2 linked regions of the Drosophila melanogaster genome follow. Changing the gene in region 1 together with any one later gene gives a genetic interaction. Each region holds a gene or a part of one and is shown on either strand. Other genes may lie near its edges.

Evidence for each region.
Region 2: of Apc (region 1) and ewg, changing one suppresses a phenotype caused by changing the other (phenotypic suppression), as found in Drosophila melanogaster (2 studies listed by BioGRID).

Annotation. Positions count from the first base shown.
Region 1 is NT_033777.3:28,841,737-28,846,729, reverse strand, and holds the start of Apc (APC-like), read left to right. Parts: upstream 1-1,981; 5' UTR 1,982-2,170; intron 2,171-4,446; exon of another isoform or gene 4,447-4,511; intron 4,512-4,993. Other genes in the region: spg (sponge), read right to left, coding at 730-763.
Region 2 is NC_004354.4:276,592-281,355, forward strand, and holds the start of ewg (erect wing), read right to left. Parts: upstream 3,044-4,764; 5' UTR 2,594-3,043; intron 1-2,593. UniProt on the Drosophila melanogaster protein: May function as a positive regulator of transcription in developing and differentiated neurons, regulating common aspects of neuronal differentiation and maintenance. Requirement in the CNS may be higher than in the peripheral system.

The sequences.
Region 1 (4,993 bases):
CCAAGTAAAATGTGTAACGAGAAAAATAAAGTCCATAGCAAGCAAGTTTCGATTCTTGAGATCTTAAATAGTTTTTACCATGTGCACTGAAGCGTTTTTCTTTCCCATTTCTATATTCTATCTACCGAGTAGGTTTTATATTAGCATACTAGGAAATATAATTAAGATGTAGTTATTTTCAGATCAGAATCAGAGAAACGTTTCAAATCAAAATCAACCATATGAACTTGGACAAATATATATTTTGTCTGCGAAATAAACATTTTTTTAGGTGTTCGTAATTACGAAAGCATTTAAATTGGCAACACCTGGGCTGGGGGGAAATTGGCAACGCGACAGCCGAGCGCTGTGCGGGAAAACTGAGCGCGCGGAAAACTGTGTGTATAAACACATCAAATCGCAGCGCAGCGGCAGCAACAACAAACAGGGAAATCTCTTTGAGATACACTACACGCTGCATGGAAAGGGGGGGGGGGCGGTGCGGTGAACTGGGGGATGATGATGCTACAAACAGTTTGTGTACAAAAATAAGTAGAAAAGTCGCTTTTCCTCCCCGCTCGGTAACGTGCGGGGGTGGTTGGCATGGTATCCGGCGTTTCGCGGAAAAACGCGTGAATCGCCGCAAAAGGCAGCAATAAAAACAAAGGCCGCGCACGTGACGCCCAGCGGGGGGTGGTGGGTAGCTTGGAAAAGTGGGTGGCACACCGCCTACTCTTATTATTTACTCACCAACTCCGTATTTGTTGTTCGAAGGTATCCACATTTTGTCGCTGCTGCTTCGCTGCAAGTTAAGCCGAAAAAATCCAACTTAGCCGGCCACTCCTTGCATTTATAATTAATCAACGGTTTTTTGAGGAAACACCCTTTTCATCGGCAAATATCTGCATTTGAATTCGCATTTATAACGGCCAATATTTATCAACAATTTTTCGCAATAGCACACATACACACTCGTACACATCTACGCACTCAATAAAACTTTCGCTTTTGTTGTTGTCTATCTCCTTCTCTTTCTCGCACTTTATCTTGTTTAATAACTACAACTACAAGCAGAAAATACACTTGCTACATTGTTGTTGTCGCTGGAAGGCAACGATCGCGGTTCCAATTGGCAATGATTACCGCTAGGTGGAAGAAAAGGAAGTGGCTGATTGGGAAGTCTGGAAGTGGTGGCTTTGCTTTTGTTGCCTTTTTCACGGACCCGCGCACACACAAACAAGAAAATCAATACGAATTTGGGACTCCCAGCCGAACTTCCAATTGGATTTCTACACTGTGCGCAATTTAAATTGCTTGTCCCTTGGCTTCGCGAATTATTACCGTTGTTTTCTGCTGCACTTGCAACGCGTTTAATTTTCGCTATTTTTTGCGTTTTATTATTTTTCGCGTTCTCCGCTGCGCAGCTTCCCGGGCGCAGCAACAACAAATATCCGTCCGCCGCTCAGCTGTTTGAAGAACAACAACAAAATTCGGGATTCGTCGGCTTATATACGTTGCAGTGTGGCCAGTTGCTAAGCGATGGATTATTTACTATTGCATTTTTGAGGGAATTTTCATTTTAGCGGTGACGGTCACACCGGTATTTATGGTCTAGCTAAGACCCGAACCAATTCGCAGTTACAGTTTTGGAGGCACATTCATTCAATGTATTCAATAATTTAACAAACAAAACAATACCAAATCCGTTTTAATATGCAGTCCATAGCGTTGGTCTGACTCGGCCCCATTAACTCTATCCCATTTTTTTTTAAATTTTTTCTTTTAAATTAACGGTGTACGTATTACTTAACCGAGATATATAATGAATAAAATATAAGCACTAAATCTTTAAGGTTAGAAAATAAATTGCAGTATAAATATATTACGAACGAAGTAAATATTCAAGCGATATATATGATCCCAAGATATCGCTACATTCTCCCATCCCTAGCAGCTATTTCTTGTTGGTTTTTCGAATTCTCGATATAACAGTCACACTGCTCGCCGCGGTTGGTCGCAATTTTTGTTGATAAGCGGACTCGGAATTTCGGCCGCGCTGCGTATTTGTTTTGTCGCGAAACAAGCCAAGAATCCAAATAGTGGCAATATCTGTGGGCAAACAAGTGATAAAGCGGGAAATGTGTCATCTGGTGGGCGAGGAAGCTGCCGAGAAATTGTGTTTTTAGTCAAGGTACGCCAATCGGAGAATCTCTGGGTTCGTGTGTGTGTGGGAGTATAGTCGCTGACTCTTCCAATTGGAATTGTTCTTTTTGGGCCTGACAATAAAACGCAGAATGTTTACTCAATAAATGCGCACCATATACAGCTGGCGAATACAAATGTGTTTAGCTCAACTTGGAGCATGAGATACTCTTTAGTAGTTTCCTGTTCTCCTGCCGATTCCTTTTACAGGAAAAATCAATAAAGGTCCCAATCAGAACGCGACTGCGCCCTAGTGTGGGTGTGCAAAGTGCGTGCATGTGTGTGTCTATGTGTGTGAGTGCTCCTTTATCAGTTGGAAAACGCAGTGTGTTTCGTTTGTTTCGTTGTTGTTGTTTTCGTTTTAGTTTTCCAACAGCTGCAAGTGATTGTGGCACGCCTAATTGATAACTATTTTCGAGCACTTCCATTCAACTTCACCTCAGCATAATTAATCACCGCATTAAGGAAAATACGTTAATATCGGCACGCTCGATTGTCTTACATGCCCACAAACATGGGAGAAAAGGAAAACACAATTCCACACTGCATGCGCTCGTATTTAGTTTCCCTTTTACTTTTCTACAATTTACATAATCATCATCTCGCGGCGGCAAAGACACAAAACAACCGGGCAGCAAAACAAAAGTGGCGTTCATTAAACCAGCTCATAAATGCACACACAGAAATCATAAGTACATACATATGTACATATGTACAGTAGTTAGTATGTAGTTTCATTATTTAATGTTTTTGCGTACATTTCCCTGTGGTTTGATGGCTCGCGGTGTCATCATCTTTACCGCTTTTCCTTCCCCCGCAAATCTTCCATTCTTTTTTCTTTGATAATTCTGCCGCGAATATTTCGTATGCAAAATGTGTGCCAAGCCAAAAAACCGCACAGTGGGTGGGATGGGGCGATGTGGTGGCAAAATTGGTTATTAGCTTAATGGGAATTCACTTATTGGAGAAATATTTTTTATTTTTGCTATTCCCTTCTAATTGTAATTGTAATTGTACCATTTTTAGGGGAGGGTGTGACGAAAACCACCCTTCAGATCATCAATCTGCCAAAAAAAATATTTCCCTCTTTCAAATATTTCAACCTAGTATTCATTTTATCACAACAAATTACACTTTCCAAATTAGGTATTCATATGTCGGTTTAAAATAACTTTTAAGACCTTACCCTCTATAAGGTGATGAAGCTTTATCTTTCAAAATCCAAATCTGATCCACCCATGCTACACAAATGCTTAATTTATATGCATATTACCAAAAATGGAATTGTTCATTCTCATAATTCATTTAATTATGCAAATATTTGGATATACAATTATCAAATAAACACTTTTATTTATTCTTTTACACCTATCAGTTTAAGTAAGTGCTTAGTAAGTCTTACTAAGCAAGTGTTATTCAAGCAATAAGTCACATTTGTTTTTGAAATCTCGTTATCTCTGAAAGAAATAGAAACTGGGTGACTAAAAGTTTGTCAGTCTGATTCACTTTCTATCCGCTAAACTATGGCACTTGTATTTTATTTCAAAGCGTGGGGTTGTTTCTGTTTTCGCTAACTATGCGAACCAATTTAGTTTCCCAATACAGTTGACTCGAAACGCTTGGAGTCGAATTGTGTCCATTGTGCAGGGCTGATTCCCTTGTGCGACTCGCTGGCCGGTTAATGACACGAGGAGTCGTCTCTGGGGGACCGGGTACACGGCTCTTGGCTAGACAAGTGACGCATATTCTCGCATTCTTTGGGGTACTAAAAGTATCTATGTCGTATCTAGATACTTGTGTTTGTCTAATTCGCGGATCGTTGATTCATCGAATCGCTCTACTCTGCTCTGTTCGTCTTTCGAATTCTTGGCCTCGAGAGCACTGATATCGTGACTCTTGCTAAATGTTAATCGGTGGAGCCGAACTGTGTGCCTTATCAAGGCGGTGATAGTGCCGGCTGATCACATATTTTATATATTTGAGGCCTAGGCAAACAATCGATCGGCAATGATGAACGATGGCCACTGTGTCCAGTGCGGCATTCCAATCGAGTGGCTTGGATGGATGGATGCATTTCCGCTGTTACACAAGCGATTTGCATTTCACAGCCACTCAAATTGCGGTTACCACTTTTCGTTCGCCGGCTGTTTTCGCTCTTTACGCTGGTCGCAATTAAAATTTGATTAATTTGCCAATTGGAGCTTGAACAAGTCGACTTGTGCGGAGCCAGAACTGGTACACGACCCGGGTCATTCCCAATCCCAAACTCAATCCACTTGAAGTCTTGAATTGGATTGGGTACACAGTGAAAAAATGCTTGAAAATACAAGGTATCAAATCATTTGTTATATTCCTTTTCATTCGATATCTAAAATTATGCAGTAAATAAATTGTGCCATACTTTAAGACACTTTGTAGATTGATTTAAGAACCCCAAGGATTTATTTGACCCTTGATTAAAGTTGTGTAAATAACTTAATAGTGACCTTACGTTAGTTACGTTATTTTCTCTCTGTGTACATACATATTTATGCACTTCTGTCCGTCCACGCTCAATTTTACGCTACAATAACAGCTGAAAAAAAAGAAGTGCAGCACCAAATTGCATTTGCACATAATTCAACGGTAGCTCAAATGAGAAATATGTCTTGTGCTTATGGAGTGTGTGTAGCAACAACAATGAGAGCCGAGGCAATATAATATATCTGCTGAAAACGCATCTGTATCTTTCTTCATGCACTGGAAATTCCGCAAAGACGACGCCGTGTGCCGCTAACTTTCTAAAAAGATGCAGCGCCAGCTAATCATGATA
Region 2 (4,764 bases), on another chromosome or scaffold:
AAACCAACCCCTTAAATCCCACACCTTTCACCGCACTGAATACACACGCAAACTCGCCCAGCTCGAGGTGCACCTCACGATGAAACTATCTTATGCAGTGTTTTTATTTATTTTCCTTGGATCTTTTTTAAACTACCACGCATGCACTACTCGAACTACCCAATCACCCCCGCGAAACAATGCAGTGGGAACACCACCAACTCCCACGTCCTTATAGGGGATGTGAGCACGACCCACTTGCGCGTGCCACACATATATCGAGAAAAGTGGCCCAGCAAAAGTGAGCACACTTCTAAACCTTGATTGTAATCAAAATAGGCATCTGATGATGAGAGAAAGGGGAAAAGAGTAGAGAGAGTATATGTTCACCCCCTAAGACACATACATATATACATTCTTATCCGGATTCTGAAAAAGGTGGGTGATGAAATTGTGTGAAGGAACCTAAAGTATTGCCAAATTAAAAAGCTCTGCGTTTGTTGGATGTAGTCTTCAGGTTTTCTTTCTAATTATAGAAGTAGGCCATTTTAGAGTCCTTTAAGATTTAAGGCCTACACAGTGATGCCCACAGGTTGCAGTAAGCGCAACTAAACTTTGTGTCGGAAGTTAGCAACACTGTAAAGAAGGCATTTGCGATGTATACTATTCTTGATCAGTGTCAACACCACAGGCGACAAAGCCACGTCCGTCTATACGTGTCTACGAAAATTATTCTCTTAGTTTTAATGTTATATGCTTGCACCTTTTCCAAGAGTATTCTTTGTCTTGCACATGGTATATTATTCGGTACGGAATAATAAAAAAAAAAATAATTTAAAAAAGTGTAGCATCGTTGTTTTAACATCTGTACATATATATACATAAGTATATATATATATATATACATATATACACTTCAATATATTTCGGTTGTAATTGCATCGAGAAGTCGAAAAGTCACAGGGAAATTGAGGAAAAAGAATCCTAGTTTGTTTTTATATTTCGCACAAAGCGTATACTCGTAAAAGCCGTTTTTGACATCATAATTTCGGTTTCAATTTGATCAAAATATTAGAAAAGAAATTATACTCTTGTTGTATCCGATCATAAATTCTTCTTATTCGGTGTTTTCTCAATTTACTATTTAATGTAAGCGTATGTGTGCTTTCGCGTTTTATATGTATTCTTAAGGCAATTTTTAGTATTCGTGAATATTTCATTATTTTTGAATATTTAAATTCTTTAACCCCAGCTTCCGTAAACTCCAAAAAGTTACTGCCGTTTACATCGAAGTATCGTTTATTCTATCTATACATATATAGGAAAATTAAAAATACCTTAAGACACTTTTTTATAATTTTAAGCATGCAAGACTAACAGCCGCAATAATTACCAAATTATGATAAGACAATTTGTTATGTTCTGCAAAGAATTGACCCCACCGTGTTTTTTTACTTTCCCTTTCCCACAATCGAATTTTCTTGGTACTGCTGTTTCTCTCTCTCCCTCTCTTAATTTCCCACCATACTCTTTTTTCTGTGCTGGACAGCACAGCTCTACAAAAATGAAATGATAACAGCGAAAATACAAACGAGAGGCAAGTTACGCATGCGAAGGTTGTCGCGGCAGTGGAGTCGGCGCAAAGACCACCACTGTTCATAGCAATGCAGTGACAGAAATATACATATGTATGTACATATACAACCAACAGTAAGAGTTCGTAGGAGTTTATAGTCGGGGAAACAGGAAAATACCAGCAAAAATGTAATCTTCTTGTTATGTCTAAATTTTTATATTTGTTTGAGCTATTAAATGTTCTTGACTATCTTAAACTCATCTCGAGTAGAAACTATTTTTGTTAGGCATGTGTTTAAATCGGCCATAAAATAAATAAAATACTCTTATTCCTTAGATTTAAAAGATGTAACAAATATAATCTGTAATTGTAGGCTGGCCGTTGCCCTGTTCCAATTGGAACTGTACTTTTATAGCCCACCCCAATACAACCTATAACAGTGGCGTCCTTCACTATTGGAACTGGAAAAACCCAATGAAGGTTGCTGTGAGCTAGCCATCCCGCTCTGTTTATCCATGTGTGTATCTACAAATTTTTCGTCTCTAGGGGGTGGTTTGGGTGTTTTTCGCAACCCCAAAAACGTCAGAATCACACAGACACAGATGCATCAAAAACACGCATACCTTCCAATGCAAATGGGAAATGCGTGTGCTGTCGTGCACACAATTGGAAGTGATACCTGTTTGGCGTTTCTATTCTACAACCCTACTTTACACATCATCCTTCCTATCGGAGTTTCCTGTCTTTGTTTTAACTTTTAGCTGAGGCGCATGGTTAAGTTACGGACACTCGCAGTTGGATTTTCATTTACGGCGCCGATGTAACGGTAACACAAGCTAAATACACCAGCACACATATATGATAACCTAATACACACACACAAGCCAGCAAGAACCGTTAGCTCAGAAACTCCGAAACTTTTGGGCATTCACTTATGCCACTACAAATCTCTATATACACATATAAATTATAGACTGTCACAGTGGAAAATCGGAAAATTTGTTGACCCCTACCACTAGTTTACACCCACATACGCACCTGTGTATTTTTGTTGTTTTTCCAGCTCCTTTATGATAACACACATACACACTCACAAAGAAAAAAAAGGCGCACGCACACGAACGCGCCGCCGCTATTGTGCATTGGTGTGTTTGCCCCTGCGCCGAAAATTTTCTTTGGCGTTTATTTATTATCACACTGCACATGCGAATATTCCGTGCATTTTACATTTGCGCACTGCCGTTTCTAGGTTGTAGCTCCAAAATTTCCCGCTCGCAAAGTTTCGCTGTTTTCCCTCACGATGCTTTTCCGTTAGCTTAGTTTTCAGCTGCCTGTCCCAGCACTTTTCCCCAAGTTTCGACGCAATTTTGCGATTTAATTTAGCCGAGGAATGGTATTTAGTACATGACAAATATCGATATACAGCACGCGTGATTTTTTCAGACGTCGATAATGTACACGCAATACATATCGCAGTCGAAGGAAAGCGGTCACTCTAAAATGCATAGGAGAAACGAGGATTGGCGGTCCCACTAATTGTGCTATTTAAGTTTAAATTCAAGTCCCCCTAGCGGACTTATATTAGTTGAAAAATTGATTGTATATTTTTGAGTAAGCATATAATAATCCATAAATATAATAATATAATAATAATTTTTGATATAAGAAATTTAAGTTTTCTGGTGCCAAAAAGATTTTAGTCTTTCTATGCAGGGAAAATTTGTTCCCTGGGCTTGCCACGTCCTCTATTACACTCACATATTTATAATAGTTTCATATTTATTTAGTTTGTTATTTTTTAGAAGAGTTTTTAAATTTCTCTCTAGCACTCCACCATCTCCGTATCTGATAAGAGACAGTTTATTAGTAGCTTTTTTTAAAGGTTTATATTATGAACGCTACAAAGAATATACAACATTTGATCCACGAATTAATCAGATGTAGTTATTAATGTAACAAAACTTTTAGGATACCCCAAAATAATGGTAAATTTTAAACAGTCGAAAAATTTATTATTCGGGAGTCGAACTGCAATTACACGTAAGCCCTTCACAAGGCAGCTAGCAATATTTAAAAAGGAGTAAGCTAGCCAGGCCAAATGAAAAACTGACATACAATCAACTTCGTATTTCACACGCGGGAAATTTAACAAAAAATAAAAAACAAAAAAATAGTTTAGGGATATGAAATCCTGAAGGATTGGTAAACTAGAACGACCGAAGACGACTAACTGCTTGCCACCAAAAATGTTGGGTTTTTATGTCCGTCGTCGGCACTCACACAATAAAATTCATTATTAGGATGTATATAGTGATAAAAGGAATTGTTTTTTTTTAACACAGATTGCCCGTATGTAAAAACCAAAGAATTCATATTATATAAAAAGAAACCACAAGTTGCTTATCGCTGTGAAATGAGGCTGGTAGTGCGCTTGCACTATGGGGAATTTAACATGTTTTATTGGCATAAATTAATATCTCGTAAACTATTTAAGATACGATGAATTTAGAATTATTTTGGCAAAGTGGGTGCCCCGCCCACTCCCATAAAATTTTTTTTTTAAATCAATATATTCTATCTAATCCACCAATGTATTGGAGTTACACCATGTTTTAGATTGTCCACAATCGGTACAAACTTAAGTCTCTTAACATTTTTATTGATAAAAAAATCTTTCAGAGTCGCATTTCGTACACTTCTATCAGGGCCGCATTGCTGATTGCTACCTAAAAATGTAATCTTCGCGAAAAGTCACAATAAGTAGCATTCGCAAAAGTCGCGTTAACCGTATGTGTTCTAAGTAGGTAATTAATCACTCTAAAACATTGACTAACACACATATCAAAAATTTTTTGAAACTCAATTAATTTTCGTAAGCACTAAAAAAGAAGGTCATCGATGGCACGTGGTTTTTAACATTGATTAATTTACATTTGCGTTACATAACTTAAGCCTTGATCTTAATCCGTTAAGAAAAAAGTGTTCAACAATTGAAACATTTTTAAAAACACATTTATGCCAAAAAACGAATCAAATTCCCCATAGTGGCTTTGGATTTATCTGAAACTTGGCCCTACTTATTCCTTATCGGCAATTCTTCCGGAATTCTACACGAACTGGCCTTATCGGTTCTGCATAATCGAAACTGGCAGTGATCTTGAATTCAGTATTTAATCCAGCTTGGCAACTTAAAACTGAATTGGGTCAAA